Macaca mulatta: one gene and its partners. The protein of the gene in region 3 purifies or fractionates together with the protein of the main gene of each other region. This does not show direct contact. Links are inferred from orthologs where the notes say so. Each region holds a gene or a part of one and is shown on either strand. Other genes may lie near its edges.

What was found. The genes of interacting proteins can lie anywhere in the genome.
Region 1: the proteins of POLR2G (region 3) and GPN3 purify together in Homo sapiens (affinity purification with mass spectrometry; 3 studies listed by BioGRID and IntAct, counting the BioPlex papers as one, with this or other methods). This does not show direct contact. The link is inferred for Macaca mulatta from reciprocal best matches to the Homo sapiens genes POLR2G and GPN3.
Region 2: the proteins of POLR2G (region 3) and POLR2M purify together in Homo sapiens (affinity purification with mass spectrometry; 4 studies listed by BioGRID and IntAct, counting the BioPlex papers as one, with this or other methods). This does not show direct contact. The link is inferred for Macaca mulatta from reciprocal best matches to the Homo sapiens genes POLR2G and POLR2M.
Region 4: the proteins of POLR2G (region 3) and GTF2B purify together in Homo sapiens (affinity purification with mass spectrometry; 3 studies listed by BioGRID and IntAct, with this or other methods). This does not show direct contact. The link is inferred for Macaca mulatta from reciprocal best matches to the Homo sapiens genes POLR2G and GTF2B.

What each region holds. Positions count from the first base shown.
Region 1 is NC_133416.1:117,634,543-117,639,545, reverse strand, and holds the start of GPN3 (GPN-loop GTPase 3), read left to right. Parts: upstream 1-1,816; 5' UTR 1,817-1,874; coding exon 1,875-2,039; exon of another isoform or gene 2,040-2,084; intron 2,085-2,253; exon of another isoform or gene 2,254-2,307; coding exon of another isoform or gene 2,308-2,355; exon of another isoform or gene 2,356-2,385; intron 2,386-5,003. Other genes in the region: protein FAM216A, read right to left, coding at 1,495-1,586. UniProt on the Homo sapiens protein: Small GTPase required for proper localization of RNA polymerase II (RNAPII). May act at an RNAP assembly step prior to nuclear import.
Region 2 is NC_133412.1:35,009,387-35,014,324, reverse strand, and holds the start of POLR2M (protein GRINL1A), read right to left. Parts: upstream 3,188-4,938; 5' UTR 3,059-3,187; coding exon 2,946-3,058; intron 1,187-2,945; coding exon 539-1,186; intron 1-538.
Region 3 is NC_133419.1:11,297,612-11,302,414, reverse strand, and holds the start of POLR2G (DNA-directed RNA polymerase II subunit RPB7), read left to right. Parts: upstream 1-1,805; 5' UTR 1,806-1,896; coding exon of another isoform or gene 1,897-1,909; coding exon 1,910-1,921; coding exon of another isoform or gene 1,922-2,055; coding exon 2,056-2,165; intron 2,166-3,453; coding exon 3,454-3,613; intron 3,614-4,803. UniProt on the Homo sapiens protein: Core component of RNA polymerase II (Pol II), a DNA-dependent RNA polymerase which synthesizes mRNA precursors and many functional non-coding RNAs using the four ribonucleoside triphosphates as substrates.
Region 4 is NC_133406.1:151,711,499-151,716,540, forward strand, and holds the start of GTF2B (transcription initiation factor IIB), read left to right. Parts: upstream 1-1,855; 5' UTR 1,856-1,906; coding exon 1,907-1,923; intron 1,924-5,042. UniProt on the Homo sapiens protein: General transcription factor that plays a role in transcription initiation by RNA polymerase II (Pol II). Involved in the pre-initiation complex (PIC) formation and Pol II recruitment at promoter DNA.

The sequences.
Region 1 (5,003 bases), on a different chromosome or scaffold from region 3:
CCTGGGTGACAGAGGGAGACTCCGTCTCAAAAAAAAGAAAAAAAGTTAATGTATCTCCTGATACACTAGGATCCAGCAATCGGCCAAGGATTATGAAGAACAGAAAAGAAACCCAAGAAGACTCCATCCCATCTTTAAGAAGTCTTCAGTAGCACCAGATACAAAAAGGATGGCCATGCGGGTGGATCAGGAGGTCAGATGGAGACCATCCTGGCTAACACGGTGAAGCCCTGTCTCTACTAAAAATACAAAAAATTAGCCGGGCGTGGTGGCACGCGCCTGTAATACCAGCTACTCTCGGGAGGCTGAGGGAGGAGAATGGCATGAACCCAGGAGGCAGAGCTTGCAGTGAGCCAAGATCGCACCACTGCCCTCCAGCCTGGGCGACAGAGCGAGACTCCGTCTCAAAAACAAAAAAGGATGGCCACGGGTGCAACAGGGCACTGTGGGTTGTACTGAACGGCAAACATATCGCAGTTCTTGCTTTTAGGAAATAAAGGAGGGAGAGGAAGAGGAGGTAGAGTCTCCAGCAGTGACTTCAACAGCTCATTGTCTTCACTATCCAGGAAATAGGTGTAAAAACCTGCTCAAGACGAAATAGATTTGTGAAAAAAGGAACTTCAGTATGTGAAGAAAAATGTCAAGATCAGGGCACCTTGGATATTCAGTCATTGGTCTCACTGGCGATTAGAAACTCTCGTTTGAGGTCGGGCGCAATGGTTCACCCTGTAATCCCCGCACTTTGGGAGGCCGAGGCGGGCGGATCACTTGAGGTCAGAGGTTCGGCACAAGCTGGCCAACATGGTGAAACCGCGTCTCTACTAAAAATACAAAAATTAGCCGGGAGTGTTGGCAGGCGCCTGTAATCCCAGCTACTCGGGAGGCTGAGGTAGGAGAATCACTTGAACCCAGGAGGCTGAGGTTGCAGTGAGCCGAGATCGCACCACTGCACTCCAGCCTGGGCAACAGAGCGAGACTCTGTCTCACACTCAAAAAAAAAAAGAAAGAAAAGAAAAGAAAAAAAAGAAAACAAAAAGAAAGAAATCCCCGTTTGACAGAAAGGTGGCTCATGTCACAAGAGGGAAGGAACTAGTTTATGGGCCTGGACGCCCCCAGCTGAACTGGGGGACATCTTCCTCCTCTGTTCCCGCCGCCTCGCCTTTCGGTGGACACACCGTCCTGTGCCAGACAGCAAATGTCCCAGTAGGGCTCGCAGCGCCCCCTCGGGGCAGAGAGATGCACGCGGGCGACTGTCGCAGTCACCTCGTGGCCACTGCACCAAACGCTTCTCCGAGGCTTCCCTCAGAGGCCCTCCCTCAACCGCGAGGCAGTCCTCCCCTCTTCCCTCCCGTCCACAACACAACTGTTCCCCGCCTCTCACTTGAGGGCACCGGAGCCAGCCCGAGACGCACGGCCGGCCGCAGCCCTCCTCACGGGGCTCACGACCCGGGGGCCCCACGCTGCCACCCCTTGCCCCGGGGCCCCCAACCTCACCCGCCGCCGCCACCCTCGGTCCCGGCCACTGCGGGCGGCTCTGCAGAAGAGCTACGCTCCGTCCAGTCGGACCCAGGACCCTGGCCCGGCATCTCCGCGGCGCCGAGACCGCGAGCCGTGTGCGGGAGCAGCTGTCCCAGCGTCCCTTCCCTGACAGCACGCGTGCGTCAGGCGGCTGGTATTCCGGAGAGGCGGTTCAGATGCCGGCTTCTCGCCCCTCCGAAGCCGTTCGGACACTACCCGAAGAGCTTCGGGAGAGCGGGGCGGGCAGATCCGCGACCCCGGAGTTACGGTGGGGGAGGGGCAGGAGCGCTGCGGTAGCTGAGCGTTTGCACGTTTGCACCTCTGTGGAAGCAGTGCGTCACAGGAGGGAAATATACATGCTCCCCAAAACAAGAGGTGCTTTCCACTTCAGTATTCCAGATCCTCAACACATTTGCAAATCGCGAGGGTCACCATATAGGTCAAAAGTCTGCACGCAAACCACGGACCGAAGCACGCGGCTCAAGGATGCGGAGCTTTATCTGTTATCCGTTATTACCCAGGTATCCAAGCTTAGGCTGCATCCCAACGGCCGATTTCCAACAACTACTTCTGCGCACGCGCATACCATCTCCTTCACCCCTCCACTTTTGTCTCAGGATGCTTTTCTCACCGGATTTGGCCCGCGGGCTGTCCCGTAGAAGGAGGTGTGGTAGAAATGGAGACGTAGAAAGAATGTGGATTGCGATTGGTTCGCACTTCACTTTCCCGGAACTCAGTGGGCGTCGCGCGAAGGCTGAGGGAGTGTGGCGGGCGGCTCCGGGAGCCGACATGCCTCGGTATGCGCAGCTCGTCATGGGCCCCGCGGGCAGCGGGAAGGTGAGGATCTGAGGGGACAAGGAGAGAAAAGTAGGGGTTCATGGGAGGCGGGAGGTTGGATCCTGAGGGAGCGAGGCGGCGGGTATGTGTACTGGGAACCCTGAGACCCCACGCAACTCATTTATGCTGTCTGGCTTCATGTTTTTTGTTGTTGTTTTGAAAGGGAAATAATGGTAGTTGTTAATATTTATTGGATACTTAAGCCCCAGGCAGTAGATTAAACGCCTTGCTGATTTCTACAACAACCCTGTGAGAGAGATCTCATTCTCATTTTGCAGACAACGAGACACAGAAAGGTTAAGTTCTTTGCCCAGCAAAAAAATTTAAATCCAGTTTTGTCTAAACTCCAGAATCCGGCCCTGTTTCGCTCCCAGAAGGGTAAAGTGGGGTCTCGTTAATTACTGTTTCTCAGAACTTGGAACATGGACTTTTGGTATTTAAGGTGCTTTTAGGTGGTACATGGACCCAACATTAAGGAGCATCAGATCATGTATTGAGGAAATTGTTGCCTTTTCATTTCTCTTTCAGTTCTTCGCATTTAGGAGAAATTGTGCTCGGTGCTAGTGTGTATCTTCAGCACTTATTTAATCCTCAGGTCTTTTCAGAGAGCAGTTCTTAGTCTCAGAGCTTTTAATAGGCACTTGTATTTAGCTAAAATTAAGAACATTTAAAAGTTTTATATAATTTTATGTCTAACTTCACGTTATGTCAAATATAACTGGTTTTCAGTTTACAGTAGGGATAAAATTTTTTCTTGTAAACAAATATTAAGGAAATGTTAGGAACATTCAAATACAGTGGGAATGGTGAAGATATGGATCAAATAACAGATGTGTGGGAAACATAGCCAGGCGTGGTGGCTCACGCCTGTAATCCTATCACTTTGGGAGGTGGAGGTGGACGGATCGCCTGAGCCAGGAGTTTGGGACCAGCCTTGGCAATACGGGGAAACTCTTGTCTTTACAAAAAAATGCAAAAATTAGCCAGACCTGGTGGCAGGCACCTGTAGTCCCAGCTTCTTGGGAGGCTGAGGTGGGAGGATTACCTAAACCCAGGAGGTTGAGGCTGTGGTGAGTGGTGATCGTGCCACTGCACTCCAGCCTGAGTGACAGAGATACTGTCACAAAAAAAGAAAAAGAAAAACTGGGAAACACTAGAGTCTGTGGAGGTGTTGTGTGGCCTTAGTTTTTAACAAACACATTGTTCTAAGCTGTTGAGTTATTCTGAGTAAAAAACATGTACATGTAACTAAGATACGTATGACCTTTAACTTACCCAGAGTCTGGAGTCTTTTGGGGAAGACAAATAATGACCTGTCAATTAAGATACAATGTGATGTGGCCAGGTGTGGTGGCTTAAGCCTGTAATCCTCGCACTTTGGGAGGCTGAGGCCAGCAGATCACTTGAGCCCAGGAGTTCAAGGTCAGCCTGGGCAACATGGTGAAGCCCTGTCTCTACCAAAAATACAAAAATTAGCTGGGTGTGGTGGCCAGAGCCTGTAGTCCCACCTACTCGGGGAGCTAAGGCTGGAGAATCGCTTGAGCCTGGGTCAAAGCAGCAGTGAGCTATATGATGGTGCCACTGCACTCCAGCCTGGGTGACAGAGTGAGACCCTTTGTCAAAAAAAAAAAAGATACAGACAGAGACAACAGTATGTGTAAAGGCACTGAGAGGACAGCAAAATGGATTTTTTTTTCTATAGTCTATTTTAATTTTTGTACTGATTGTGTTAAACAAGTATCTTTATAAGCTTTTGATGCCTACTATCAGAAACATTTGTTGAGTATGTTCTTTCTCCCAAGCATGTTTTGGGCCCTGGAGGTTGTGTGGGGAAAAAAACAGGCACACACAAAATCCCTGCCCTGTGGAGCTTATCTTTAAACATAATAAGTCAATTAGAAATAATTATCAAGTATTTATTATGTAGTAGGTATTGTGCTAATCCCTGTGCTTGGGAAACTGAATGACACATCTCTGCCTTTAAACAGAGGATGACACAGACAAGTAGCCTAGAATTTTTTTTTTTTTTTTTTTTTTTTTTTTTTTTGAGCCGGGAGTCTTGTTCTGTCATCCAGGTTGGAGTGCAGTGGTGTGATCTCAGTTCACTGCGACCTCCGCCTCCTGGGTTCAAGTGATTCTCCTGCCTCAGCCTCCCGAGGATCTGAGATTACAGGCATATGCCACCACGCCCGGCTAATTTTTGTGTATTTAGTAGAGGCGGGGTTTCACCATGTTGGCCAGGCTGGTCTTGAACTCCTGACCTCAGGTGATCTGCCTACCTCGGCCTCCCAAAGTACTGGGATTACAGGCGTAAACCACTGCACCCAGCCCCAGATTTTAACATAGTATGGTAACAACAACATAAGGGATAAAGAATTATCTAAACCAAACGTTACAAACTGATAGCCACCTCCAAACTATTGACCTTGGCGTTCCTTCATCTTGGAATGCTCTTCCCCTTAGGATGGCAAGCTCATTATCATATACTCAGATATCCCCTACTCAGAGACATCATCCCTGACCATCCTACCTAAAGGTTTGTTTGGATTGTACAAGTCCTGGTAGAGACACTGTGTTAGGTGTTACACTATGTAACCAGAAGTCTTCCCTTTAAATACCACTTGTCACATGTTAGAGCAGTAAGGAGC
Region 2 (4,938 bases), on a different chromosome or scaffold from region 3:
GCTCCTGCAATTGCTTTATCCTTAGTTCACAGACTAATCAAAGAGAGTACACTTTGATAGTACACTAATTAGAGCTGTACACTAAAAAATAGTTCTGAAAAAAAGACATCATAATAAATTCTCTCCAACTCTGTGTTTATTATGAAATATTGGCTAAGCGTCCTGAAATTTAATATTCCCCCAAGTGCTATTTAAGACCCTGTCAATTACTTAGTTTCAAAACTAAATATTTTTCAGCATGAACCTTCCACTCCAGCCAGGCTGGTCTCAGTGTTTCCACAATATGTTCTTTCCTAAATACAAGTAATTCTCATACAAAGCCCATGGAACTTAGAGCATTCTCCTTATTTATGAGAAAAGGTCTTATTATAAGTTGCCCAAGCTGGTCTACAACTCCTGGACTCAAGCTGTCTTCCCACCTCAGCCTCCTGAGTAGCCTAGGACTACAGGCAAGCACCACGACACCCAGTTTCTCTTAACTTTTTGAGTTTAACAAATATCATGTTCCTGTTATAGGCCTGTTTCCGATGGTACTTACACATTGGTTTTAAATTTATGCAGCTGGGGCACTGGATTTTTGGCTCGCATTTCTAGCACTTCCATGTAATGAGGCTTCTTCTGAGTCCCACTAGAAAGGTCTGTCAAGTTCTTAGTACTTGCGTTTTCTTCTGACTGTTGTTCACCTTGGTCTGCAATGGTGATCCTCTGTAACCTGTCAATAAACAGGTTGTCAAAGCTGCTGGAAGTATCTTCTGCTTGACTTGAAACACGACGCTGCGGGTGATGCTCACTAGCTTCAGATGAAGACGGTACCCTGTCTCTGTTGCTGGAAGCTGGGCCCTTAATCACTGTGTATTCAACCTCTGGAGTCTCTCCATCACCTTCATGAGTAGGATGTCCAAGTCCCTGGTTTTGTGAGGTTGTTTTAGATGACTTGATATTATCTACAGAGGAACACCCAGGAACTAGTGATGAAGTATCAAGTATCGGGTCAGAATTCTGGGCCTTATCTGTACCCACATCAACTTCTGCAATTGCTTTTTGCCTTAGCTTACAGTCTAAACTAACAGGGTGAAACAGTTCACTTTTTCTTCTAACTTCTTCATGTTCTGCAACAGCAGCTTTCAGTTTGGCAACAGAGTCAAAGATCTTTTTACCTTTGTCGGGCAATTTGCAAATGAATTTTCTGTCAAATGGAAAAGAATACATACACATTACAGCCATGTTTTTAACTTGACATATAACATTAAAAAGGCAAAGCATTATCTTCAAAGAAAGAAAAGCTGATTTTTAAGTCAAATATCTGATTTCTAACTGCCCCAAAACAGGAATAAAACAAATAAAACGGTCATTATCCAAACAGCACAAAAAAACAACGGAATGCTGGAATAGGGAATATATGCCTCATTTGTCTCAGCAAATTAGAATTTCGGCAAAAGTATTTTAAGCATGTAATAATCACATAAGACATTCTAAGAACCAGCAGTCATTAAAGTGCAATCCCCACAATTTGGGGATGGGGTGGAGTGTGGGGATGGGCCTATTATTTTAAAACTACTTTCATAATAATACTAAGATGTTATTTCCCTCTCATTTTCTCACATGGGTACAGCGGAGTTTTCCAGTGGCTACATGACATATGATGACATCATTGTTCTAGAATAGAATGTGTGCTTGTGTATGCTTATGTTTTAAAGACTTCAGCTGTATTTCTGATAAGTAAATAAACTTCACTAGACAGAACACATAAAATAGTTCTTCGGGATGTCAAAAAATCTTAAAGTATAAAGGAGTCCTGAGACCAAAAAGTTAATTCACTACTACAGATTAAAAACCTATTCTCACAAGGTAAAAACACCTGCCTTGATCCCAATCAATTATTTATTTGTCCCTTTTGCTAGATGACAGAGTTCCTTTTTTGATTCTCTTTTCTTTAATTATACAATAAATGGAGAGAAAAATCTTAGGTCCTTTGTTCTTTTTGACACTACATTCATTCCCACTATTTCAACTATTAACAACACTCTACAGCTGAAATTCCTATGTTTTCTATATTTTTCCAGAGTTCTCTCTTTCTTGAGCCTAATGACAACTTCTCCAGCTTTTAAGTGTTTGGTTTTCAATTAGTCAAATGTCTGTCCCGCTCTCCCCTCAACTCTGAACACCCTATGTAAAATCAACCACGGATCTATTCCTCTCCCTGAATATTCCTATTTTTGCTAGTGGTCTTCCATACAAATTGGAAAACTCAGCCATCTCTGTCAACTACATTTAAATGACTCTATGCTTAAAAGTTCTCCCAATCCCTTCCTAGTTCACTTTCTTACAACTGTCTCGTGGGGAGCCTCTCTGAAAATAGCCATCTACTGTCTCCCGCTTTTTATTCCTTCAAACCATCTTTTGCAACAAGCTGCTAAACAAAGCTGCCTGAAAAACAAAATCACTTTTATCACGTGGCTCCCTTGCTAAAATCCGTTAAATCAACCAGCTGACTGGGGGTCGAACTTTCCCGGCCTAATAAACGCCTCTTCATATCCCACTCTTCCCATTTCCTACGGTTCCTGTAAGCGTAGAATCCAGAGACGAAGCTGACAATTTGTTATGGGTTAGGGGTGCGGGCGACAAAAGGGTTTAGAATGAAGACTCTTGCTTCATGGAACTAACACAGTCCCCGGGTAAATAAAACCAACGAGGGGCTACTAACTGCCTGCAACAATAAGTAGCCGTTCAGTCCGAGCCATCCTCGCAGGCCTACGTGCCTGGCCAGGAAGAGGCACGGCTCTGCGACAGCAAGCCCTCCGTCCACTCGCCCGTAGGACTGAGGCGAATGTGACTGAGGCAAGGTCACCTTCCAGGGAAGGAAACAGAGTGGGGGAGGGGAGGGGAGCGCCCAGGGAGCTCGAGCTGAAGGAGCCTGGCGGAGACTCCGCGGGACCCCAGCTTACTCGTTGCGCAAAAGTCTCTCCTGGCGCTTCAACATTTCCCGCAGCTCCACCAAACTCCGCTGCCCCAAGTCCTCGGGAGCTTGGGGCTCGAAGCCGCGGGGCAGCGAGGACATTCTGCACAGGCTGAGGCTGGCGCGGCGGCGGGCACTCGGCTTCCTCGGCAGGCCCCGCTGCTAGCGCCGGATCCGCGGACTGCGGTGACTCCGGGGCTCGAGCGGGAGTCGCCATTTTCCCGGAAGAACGGGGTCTTCCTCGAGCCGAATCGAGCTTTATTGAAATGCCGGAAACAAACACGGACCGGGAGAAGGGGGCGTCCGGAGGAGCGCTAAAGGGCGGAAATTACGTTGGAGGACGCCGGCGCCTGGGTTTGGCGCCCTTTCCCCTCGTGTGAGCATTCATCCGGTTGTCAGCTGTTCATAGGTTTATACAAAAAGTATTTGGCGCCAGCGTGACCTCACCAAGCACTATGTGTTAGTCAACAAAGAGCCACGTCCTCTGTTATAGTTGGGGTTTACAGAGTTGGCGCGGGGGACGGAGGGACGGAGAATCAAATAATATAATAGTGACGTTGGGGTGGGCACCTGGGAAGGTATCTCTGAGAAGTGAAATACAAGTCGAAACCTGAAAGATGAGTTGGCCGTTAATAAGGTAGAGGAGAGTGCGGGACAGGATTTGGGAGACTCCGGCCTGTGTGTGGTGCCTCCTAGCTCAGCTTAGGGACGTCCTGAAATGTTAAAGTTGGAAGGTTCCTTAGAATCAGCAATTCTTTTCGGGGCTCATTGCATTTGGAGCAGGACTTCATTTGTGGCACTGCCTCAGGCATTGTTAAGACATTTGGTGTTTCTGGCTTCTGCCTGCTAGGTGCCATGGCACTCCCAAGTAATTGCAAAAATCCAAAATGTCTCCCCCAACATACATTTCCAAAGGCCCACAAGAGGTGATGAGGGAGTGGGAGCAGCTGTACAAACTGGTTGAGGACCTTTTATAATTTTCTACTTTGCCTGTAGAAAAAGAGTCATGAAAACTGAAATAAATATTCCCAGGGCACAAAACCAGTAAGTGACAGCACCAGATTTCAAACCCAAAAGCCCAGCGGCTTTTCCAACACACCAATTTGAAAATTCCCTTCTTCACTTTAGGCCTATCTCCAAATGTGCAAAATTGTTGAAAAGACTTTTTTTTTTCTTTCCCCCAGCTGTTGAGAAGAAGACAGTTTAGTAAGTATTGGACACAGCTTTTAGTTTCTTGTTATAGTTCACCTACCAGAGATGCATCCCAATGGAAACAGTAGGAAGACATGCAGTCACAGCAGATATCACTTGGGAGGTTTGAACACCCCCATAACCTCCAAAACCACTGCCCTCCCCCGATTTTTTTATATAGGAAATTGAAGTTGTCTCAATCCTATGTAAGATGCTATATTAACACAAGCAGCTCCATCCCAAAGAGACAGAAGATCTAGGTAAACTCCAAAGCTATTCCAGGGAGCACAATTGCAACCATTTTTTTATCCCCCCAATCTAGTCCATTCAGATCAGATTCATTAGTATATCAAAATAAGTTTTCTCTGTATAAGACTTGCTTTCAAGGATGTTAATAACCTGCTCCAGCATTGGCTGAATGAGAAATAGGTAAGCTCCTCGAGTCAGTTGGTTGTCTGTGGTGTCAACAAAAAAAAAAAAAAAAAAAAAAAAAAAACTCCATAAAATATTGAAGAGATGTATTCTGTGCTAGATATGAGTGACCATGGCCCATCACACAGCCCTCAGGAGATGCTGAGAACACATGCCCAAGGCAGTCGTTGCACAGCTTGGTTTTATACATTTTAGGGAGACATGAGACATCAATCAAATACATTTAAGATAAACATTGGCTTAATCCAGAAGGGTGAGACAACTCAAAGCAGAGCAGGTGTGGGGCAAGATGGGCTTCCAAGTTATAGGTAGATTTAAATTTTTTTCTGATTGGCAGTTGATTTAAAGGAACATCTAGG
Region 3 (4,803 bases):
GATCACTGCAAGCTCCGTCTCCTGGGTTCACGCGGTTCTCCTGCCTCAGCCTCCCGAGTAGCTGGGACTACAGGCGCCCGCCACCTCGCCTGGCTATTTTTTTGTATTTTTTAGTAGAGACGGGGTTTCAACGTCTTAGCCAGGATGGTCTCGATCTCCTGACCTTGTGATCCACCCGTTTCTGCCTCCCAAAGTGCTGGGATTACAGGCTTGAGCCACCGCGCCCGGCCCCAATTTTTTGTATTTTTAGTAGAGATGGGGTTTCACCATGTTGGCCAGGCTGGTCTTGAACTTCTGACCTTGTGATTCACATGTAACTTTTTTTTTTTTGAGAGGGAATCTTGCTCTGTCTCCCAGACTGGAGTGCAGTGGCACGATCTCGGCTCACTGCAACCTCTGCCTCCCGGGTTCAAGCAATTCTCCTGCCCCAGTCTCCCAAGTAGCCGGGATTACAGTCGTGAGCCATCGTGCCGGGGGTATGTAACATTTTTTTAACAGAGGATGAAATAGTCATGGATTTCCTGCACTCCAGCCTGGGTGACACAGCGAGACTCCCTCTCAAAAAAAAGAAAGTGAATTAATCTATAATCTGAGAACAGAAGTTGTAAACTATATGTGACTCACAGTCATATCTCTCTCGAGGCTTAAAATGTTTTTTGGGATTGCAATAGCTTTTAAATTTTTTCTTTCTCTCTCTCTCTTTCTTTCGTTCTTTCTTAGTGTTGCTCTGTTGCCAGGCTGGAGTGCAGTGGCGCGATCTCAGCTCACCGCAGCCTCCGCCCCCCGGGTTCAAGCGATTTTCCTGCCTCAGCCTCCTGAGTACCGGCTAATTTTTTGTATTTTTAGTAGAGTCGAGGTTTCGCCGTGTTAGCAAGGATGGTCTCAATCTCCTGACCCCATGATCTGCCCGCCTCCGCCTTCCAAAGTGCTGGGATTACAGGCGTAAACCACTGCGCCCAGCCTAAATTTCATTATTTTCTGTAGCTTCCTGGCCTTTCGACTAAGGCTCATGTAAATTTTTTGTTATTTCTACACCAATTTCTGTAGATTATTATGAGAATTAAGGGAGATAATTATATAAAGGGCTTAACACAGTGTCTGGCATTTAGGAAGAAAGCAGTAAGTGGTAGCTATTATTTATTATTATTTTTTGTGATGGAGTTTCGCTTTTGTTGCCCAGGCTGGAGTGCAGTGGCCTCCCAGGTTCAAGCAATTCAGAGAGTTGCTGGCCGGGCACAGTGGCTCACGCCTGTAATTCCAGCACTTTTGGAGGCCGAGGTGGGTGGATCACCTAAGGTTGGGAGTTTGAGACTAGCCTGACCAACATGGAGAAACCCCATCTCTACTAAAAACACAAAATTGGCCGGGCGCTGTGACTCACGCCTGTAATTCCAGCACTTTGGGAGGCTGAGGAGGGCGGATCACAAGGTCAGGATATCAAGACCAGCCTGGCTAACCCGGTGAAACCCCGTCACTACTAAAAATACAAAAAATTAGCCGGGCGCGGTGGTGGGCGCCTGTAGTCCCAACTACTGGGGAGGCTGAGGCAGGAGAATGGCCCGAACCCGGGAGGCGGAGCTTGCAGTGAGCCGAGATCGCGCCACTGCACTCCAGCCTGGGAGACGGAGCCAGATCCGTCTCAAAACAAAAAAAAGAGAGTTGTGGTTTGATGGCCGGTGGGGGGGCGGGGCGGTGGTGAGGGGCGGGGCTTAGTGGTTCACGCCCACGGCTACAAGGCCCAATCAGACCCGTGGAGCAGGTGGAGTTCCGCCCTCGCGGAGGAGGTGGAGTTCCGCTCTCAACGTCGCAGCAGGCGCGGAACTGGGGTTGCGGCGGCTAAGTGTGTTTCCGGTAGATTCCCAGGGGCGGTCGGAGGTGTGGACTGTTCCTGCCTTCATGCTCTGGGAAGATGTTCTACCATGTGAGCAGGGCCCAGGGTGGCGGCAAGGGCTGGGTGGAAAGGAGGAGCAAGGCCAGGCGCCGGCGCGAGGCTCCCCTTGTCGTCTGATAAGCTCCCAGCGCGTGGCCTGGTCGCCATCCCTCTTTTCTCCGCAGATCTCCCTAGAGCACGAAATCCTGCTGCACCCGCGCTACTTCGGCCCCAACTTGCTCAACACGGTGAAGCAGAAGCTCTTCACCGAAGTGGAGGGGACCTGCACAGGGAAGTGAGTGCCGAGCTCACCGCGCCGCCAGATCGTTCGATGCGCACACGGGTCGCTATACCTGCAAACCATCCGCAACTCCTATTAGTCCTGCCACCCACTCTAGGGACCCCGCTCACCCTCTCAGGCAGCCAGTTGCTTCCTGCTTTGGGTTCCCAGGGCGCCCTCTGCAATGCTGGACAATAAGACTTCCTTCCCTCAGCTGAGATTGGTCATTCATTCATTTACTCCTCAGACATTTTAAAAACACTTGGTGTGTGCCAGGACCCGTGTTGGGCTCAGAACAAGGTAGAATGGGAACAAGATAGAATGAGGCCAGCTCTTGTGGAGCTCACAGTGTAGTCATTGTTCCTGTGTCTCCTCTCACTCTGTCATTCTGCTGGTTTTCTCTTATCCCCTGTGTCCAGGGACCACACACCGTGGGCCTCTATATATCTTCTGAATGGATGACCAGAAAAAGTGGATCGAAAGTTTGGGGGAGGAAGGAAGTAGACTGGGACTTGACCATCTCTGGGCTTTGCACTGAGGGCCTTCTGTGATATTAATGAGCTGGGACCCAGCCCAGGGCAGTGGAGTACTTGGGCCTCCAGCATCAGAAAAACCTGCAGGAACATGCAGATTCCTGAGCCTCCTTATTCCCTACAGAATCAAGACTCTGTGAGGCAGACCTGAGAATCTGCATTTTAAGAAGATGATTCTCAGGCATCCCGAAGATTGAGATCTGTTTCCTCAAGGACTCCAGCCTTCTTGTACATTTACTGTGAAATTACCAGAACAGCATTTGGTCTTATACATACTGATCTGTGTTCTTTTTTTTTTTTTTTTTTTTATGAGACGGAGTCTCGCTCTGTCGCCCAGGCTGGAGTGCAGTGGCCTGATCTCAGCTCACCGCAAGCTCCGCCTCCCGGGTTCAGGCCATTCTCCTGCCTCAGCCTCCCGAGTAGCTGGGACTACAGGCGCCCGCCACCTCGCCTGGCTAGTTTTTTGTATTTTTTAGTAGAGACGGGGTTTCACCGGGTTAGCCAGGATGGTCTCGATCTCCTGACCTCGTGATCCGCCCGTCTCGGCCTCCCAAAGTGCTGGGATTACAGGCTTGAGCCACCGCGCCCGGCCCATACTGATCTGTGTTCTGTCTTCTCTTGGTCATTAAGCTCTCTGGGAGCAGAGGTGCTATCTACTTGTCCTTTTGCTCTCCCCGACACTACTCCCAAGAGCTCAGTGACTTTTATTGCAGATGTCTCTAGAGGCTCTTGGACACACAATGTCTTTCTGTTTCTCATCCTCCTTGCAGGTATGGCTTTGTAATTGCTGTCACCACCATTGACAATATTGGTGCTGGTGTGATCCAGCCAGGCCGAGGCTTTGTCCTTTATCCAGTTAAGTACAAGGCCATTGTTTTCCGGCCCTTTAAAGGGGAGGTCGTGGATGCTGTTGTAACTCAGGTCAACAAGGTGAGACCATACGTAGGGGAGGCATTGGGGTAGTCTCTCAGTAGATCTGGGTTGGGTCCTGGCTCCACTTCATAACTGTGCCTTCAGCTAAGTCACTTTACTTCTTTTTTTTTTTTTTGAGATGGAGTGTTGCTCTGTCGCCCAGGCTGGAGTGCAGTGGTGCCATCTTGGCTCACTGAAACCTCTGCCTTCTGGGTTCCAGTGAGTCTCTTGCCTCGGCCTCCCAAGTAGTTGGGACTAAAGGCAGGTGCCACCATGGCCGGCTAAGTTTTTGTATTTTTTTTAGTAGAGATAGGGTTTTGCCATGTTGCCCAGGCTGATCTCGAACTCCTGAGCTCAATCTGCCTACCTCGGCCTCCCAAAGCGCTAGGATTACAGGTGTGAGCTACCACGCCTGGCCATCACTTTACTTCTTGTGCTGCACTTTCAAATTGTATGGTAATCTTCCCTGCCCAACTCAGAGGGCAAGAGTCAACATTAATAGTCATAACAATAAAAGCCTGTGTTGATTGAGTAGTGACTGTGGGCCAGGTGAAGTGCAGAGACTCACAATGACTAAAAGGTGGGTGCTTTCCTTTTTTTTTTTTTTTTTTTAAGATGGAGTTTAGCTCTGTCGCCAGACTGGAGTGCAGTGGCACAATCTTGGCTCACTACAACCTCCGCCTCTGGGTTCAAGTGATTCTCCTGCCTCAGCCTCCCAGGTAGCTGGGACTATAGGCATGCGCCACCACGCTCAGCTAATTTTTGTATTTTTAGTAGAGATGAGGTTTCTCCATGTTGGTCAGGCTGGTCTCAAACTCCCGACCTCAGGTGATCTGCCTGCCTCAGCCACCGAAAGTGCTGGGATTGTAGGCGTGAGCCACTGCCCCCGGCCAGTGGGTGCTTTTTACAGAAGCTGAAGCTTAGAAGAAGTTAAGTGTATTGGCCAAGATCATGTGGCCAACAGGTGTTCAAATCTTGGACTAACAGGCCTAAGCTCTTTAATACTTTAAAATGAAAGGTTAGGCTGGGCATGGTGGCTCACATCTGTAATCCCAGCACTTTGGGAGGCTGAGGTGGGCAGATCACCTGAGGTTGGGAGTTCAAGACCAGCCTGGCCAATATGGTGAAACCGTATCTCTACTAAAAATACAAAAATTAGCCAGGCATCGTGGCATGTGCATGTAGTCCCAGCTACTCGGGAGGCTGAG
Region 4 (5,042 bases), on a different chromosome or scaffold from region 3:
GCAGCAGCCCCAAGCCCTTTTCTGGTTGCACTTGACACAGCTGAAAAGGGTTGGCATTTTTCAAACTTTCCCAAATATTGAGGGTGGAAAAAACCCCCACAAGAGTACAGTCAAGTTATTAAAGTGACAGAATTACAAAACAGAAGATTGGGGTTGGGAAAGAAAAAAGAAATGCTCCCCGGTTCCCACCTAGATTTGAGTTCCTAAAATCCTGCCTCTTGCACACCCCTTTTTCTTTCTAAGGAAGCTAGTATCTCCCACCTTCTCAAGAAAACAATGAGTGCTCGATTAGATTTAAATCCCATCCCCAAAGAAAGGAAGCAGTCTTCTAAGTTCTCAGCCCCATGAAAACCACCAAGCACTTTCTCTACCAATCCCCATATTTCCAAGACTAGTTTTCTCCTGCAGTGTTGTCGCAGGAGAAAAGGGTCTGGAGGCAGGAAACCTAAGGCCGATTCACACTGATTTCCTAGAACTGAATCAAAAAGAAAACCCCAACTTTCCACACCTAAGTAACAAAAGAACCAGACACTACTCCCTTTGCAACCCCCTCCCCCCCACAACCCCCCTACAACTCCCTCCCACATACAATACCCCCCAATACCCCCCTCTCAACACCCCTCCCCCCAACACACACACACTTTTTCTGTGTGGCAGATGGGAAATTGAAAGTATCTCTGATTGGTTGCAGAAAGCAACCAATCAGACATTTGCATAGGAGTGTAACTTTGTAACTTCTCTTTAGCCTCTGATTGGTTGCTTTTCACAACCAATCAGACTGATTGTGGAGTCACTACTTCATTTACATAGGGTGTACACCAAGTAACCGATGGGAAACCTCTAGAGGATATTTAAACCCCAGAAAATTCTGTAAAGGTAGTCTTGAGCTCCTCTGCCCTGGTCGCTGCCGCTCTGTGGCGTGTACTTTCGTTTTCAATCTGCCTTTGTTGCTTCATTCGTTCCTTGCTTTGTGCGTTTTGTCCAGTTCTTTGTTCAAAACGTCAAGAACCTGAACACCCTCCACCAGTGTTATTGTTGTTAGTAGTAGTGGTATTACTATTTTGACGTTAATTTGGCTAATCTAGGGATATTTTGCATTATCTAGATGTTCTGCCAAGTTTTCTATACGTAGCTATCAGCCAAATTTGCAAAGGCCATGAAAAAAAAAAATGATCAGAGTATGACCCATATCGTCGTGCCTCTCATGCACACATTGGTCTCACGTAATTTTGTTTCATCTCCTGCCAATTCTAAAAGGGTATGCAAGGCAAGATACTATAACCTATATAAACCTACATACCCTGTATCAAAACGACGTGCCTAAGAAGATAACATGCTAGTTGATGACAGAGCCTGAAGAGACACCTGTTCTGGATGACCTAAGTGAATTTCTCTTTTTATTTTGAATTCCTTAGAAAGAATCACCCTTGGGGCACGTAAGAACCGGCTCAAATGGGAGTGCCTGAAGCCGGGTGGGGTACTGGGGCCGGGGGGTGGCGGTGAGAAGGTGGGAGAGGAAGGGGTGGTTAGACTTTTAGGGATGCAGGCTTTGGCACCACTACGAAGCCAGGGTTTTCTTCGTGTTTTAACTCTGTCAGATTGAGAGTAGCTCTGTTGTAGCCCCTTTGCAGGGTTCCCATGAGACTCTTCCTAGGCAGTTACGTTGACTCGCTTAGCAACATAGCAAATTACAGAAACGGAATAAAAACGTAAGAAATCTCAAAGCGCGTGACGTATGGGATCTCACTGTTCTTGGCCCTTCTCCCGACCCGTAGCCCCGCTCTGTTACGACTGCGTGGGTGAGTCGTCTATAAAAACTCATCTCTGCGCGTCTCTTCGCCACACTCGTTTCCTGTTTTCGGCGGATCTGTTGTGGCTTGTTGCGGGCACCGCAGTGGCCCTGAAGATGGCGTCTACCAGCCGGTTAGTATGTCCGGCCCAGCCCGGCGAGCTGAGGGGCGGGCGCGAGCGCCGCGGGCTTTCAGGCGGCCTCCGGGCAGCCTAGTCGGACTAAGCACCGAGGGGTATGGGAGAGAAGCGGCGGGACTGGCCGACCGGCCGGGACAAAGGCACTTCCAGACGGCAGGACTGTCAGGGTGTCGGAGGGGTTACCCAGCTGTTGACGTTATTGCTTCGGAGTCTTATGTCGTCTTCTCATGTAGACATCACCCTTTGTGGGTCCTGGTGGGCTTCTGTGTCCCTAGCCCTTGTCCTCGTCTTTTCTGAATATTTCAACCTCCCTTTATTTTCTTCTCCTTCTACCTCCGCCCCTCCCCCAGCTTGTTGTTTTCGTCTACGGCCCAAACAACCCGAGGTCCGTAATTTCTCCTTTTCAAAGGAACGGGAAATAGTTGGTTCCGGGTCCCTATCGATCTGACAGCTAGGAAGTTGGGAACGTCAGCATTGGTAAGCCAGATGGAACCAGGTTACCATCACAGCGGGCCTCGAAAGTGGAAGTTAGAGCCATCGGAAGAGTTGATTAGTTCCATGCTAAAGGATTTGTTTACAAATATCGTTGCCTGTGTCCTTCTGAAGAAAATCTTGCATAAGAAATTTAGTTATGTGTGCTGGGAGGTTGCTCTTCAGTATATATTTAAAAATGCAATGTACTCATATCTACAGGAAATGCATGCAGTACCCTCAGAGACAGCCTTTAATCTTGTGACCTGAAAAATGCTTGCAGACCCTAATTATATCTCTCATTACCACTATGAGGTAGATATTAGTATTTTTGCGTAAGTGTAAACTGAGTCATGCCAATGTTGACTTTACCAAGGATAGTGTTAGAGTGTAGAGTCTAAGATAACCTGTTTCTTGTTATCCACACCTGGCCTTTGGTTAACTAATGCTGTGTTAAAAGTATCAAATTAATTCTACAGGTTCTGGAACTCTGGCACCATTTTTCTGACCCTATCAGCTGTGAAATTGGTTAATTTCACAGTGAAAGCCATTTTTACAAAATAGCCTTTTCTGGTAACTGCCAAGACTTACATTTTATGGTTAGAAGAAAAGAATTTGGGGTGGGATGCGCTTTAGCTAATGTACTGTTTGAACAGAACTTATAAAGCCAGTGACACTCTTGTTTACTGATTCTGATTCTTGGATTGGATGCTCATTCTGTCTGGGTGGTGGTCTGTCAGGTGAGGCCTCCTTGTAGGTAAATAGAAAACTTTGGCTTCCCAAATCACTCAAATATGACTTAAATTCTGTCATGGCTTTTTAAGTCTGAATTTTTTTCTAGATATGTGCAATTTATGTATCATGGCAGTTATTGCTCAAGTTTTTCTATCAGTGACAAAGTTAAATGTAGAATTTTTTATTTTTTGGAACAGGCCTGGGCTGAAGTGCAAGTGGCACAATCATGGCTCACTGCAGCCATGACCTCCCCAGTTCAGGTGATCCTCCCACCTCAGCCTCCTGAGTAGCTGGGACCATAGGTGCACACTAATTTTTTTAGTGTGCCTGGCTAATTTTTTTATTTTTTAATTTTATTACTTTTTATTTTTGTAGAGACAAGGCCTAGTTACATTGCCCAGGCTGGGCCCGAACTCCTGGGCCCAAACAGTCCTCCGACTTTGGCCTGCCAAAGTGCTGTGGTAACAGGTATGAGCCACTATGCCCAGCCTAAATATATTATTTCTATCTTTTGCATGTTTTTCCCTCAGGAAGATGTATTGTTGCTAGGCCGTGAAACTGGCTGGTGACCTCACAGAAGAATACAAATATTTTGAGTTCAAATGTAAGCTTCGCCACTTACTAGTTCCATGACTTCAGGCAAATCATTCTGTGAGCATAATCTTTTAAAATGGGAAATAGGCCTTTCTTGCAGGATTGCTGTGGAGATTGACAATAATGAATGTGTAACACCAGCAATACAGTGCATACCCAATAAATGATAGCTCTAAAATGGGGTTTGGGATTATCTGGTACTTTAGATGTTTTAATGTCAGTGGTGGTGGTTTCCCTATTCCTCCCCATTGTTTCTCTCTGTTACCACCTGCGCCACCCCATTTGTATGGTTCCTCTTTTGTATTGTGGGTAATTTGGTTAAAAGTTTACTAATTTAGCATACTTTTATTTTGATAGGTAACACATACAAATGGTCCAAAAGCAAAATTACAATAGACTAAAACCATGAAAAGTAGGCTCTCAAGTCTCCCCAGATCAGCCATAGTTACTAGTCTTTTGGTGTTTTCCTCGTGCTTATGATTTAACAAGTGTATACAAATAGTTCTAACCTCTCTTCTCCCCAAAAGTGACCTGATTTAAACTCCATTCACTACCTTGCTTTTACCTTTTTTTAATGACATTAGCACGCAGATTTTAAAAGTGGGCAGCTCAGTCACAAAGTGAGCACATACATGGCTACTACCCAGGTAAGGAAATCAGATACCACTAGCACTAGCTAAGACACTAGCAAAGTCTCTGTCCTCAGTCATTCCCCCTCCCTTGAGAAAACCGCATCCTGATTTCTAACACCATCAATTTGTTTTGCCTGCTTTGAAGTTGGCATAAATGGCATATGTATTCTGCTGTCTAGCTTCTGTCAGTATTTTGAGGTTCATCCATGTTACAGTGTATGGCTAGTTTATACTTTTCAGCTTTGTATAGATTTTCTACCTTACTCCTCACTCTTCATATCTTTCAGATGTTTCTGTATCATTACATGAACTAGAGTTTTCTGTCTACTTTTTAATAGTGCAGAGTGTTAGTTCTTAGTACTGTGTTTAATGTGGCCTCCTCTTTTACTCATTTGTAATTAGTACTACTCTGCTAACATTTTCCTTTATTTCAACATAGTTTTTCGTAATTGATAACAACTGTTTGATTTTATTTGTCTTAATATATTAAAATACTTTCCTTAGAGGAATTTATAGAGTGATCACAAATATGAAGTAATACTTACCCCTGCGTTTTCCCAACGAGAAGATTCAAGACATGTTCTGGTTAAGCTGAGTAGATAAATTTGGAGGGGAATAGGGATTATTTTATCAGTTTTCCTGTAGATATCATCATCTAAGTTGAGAGTTAACCTTCTGAAT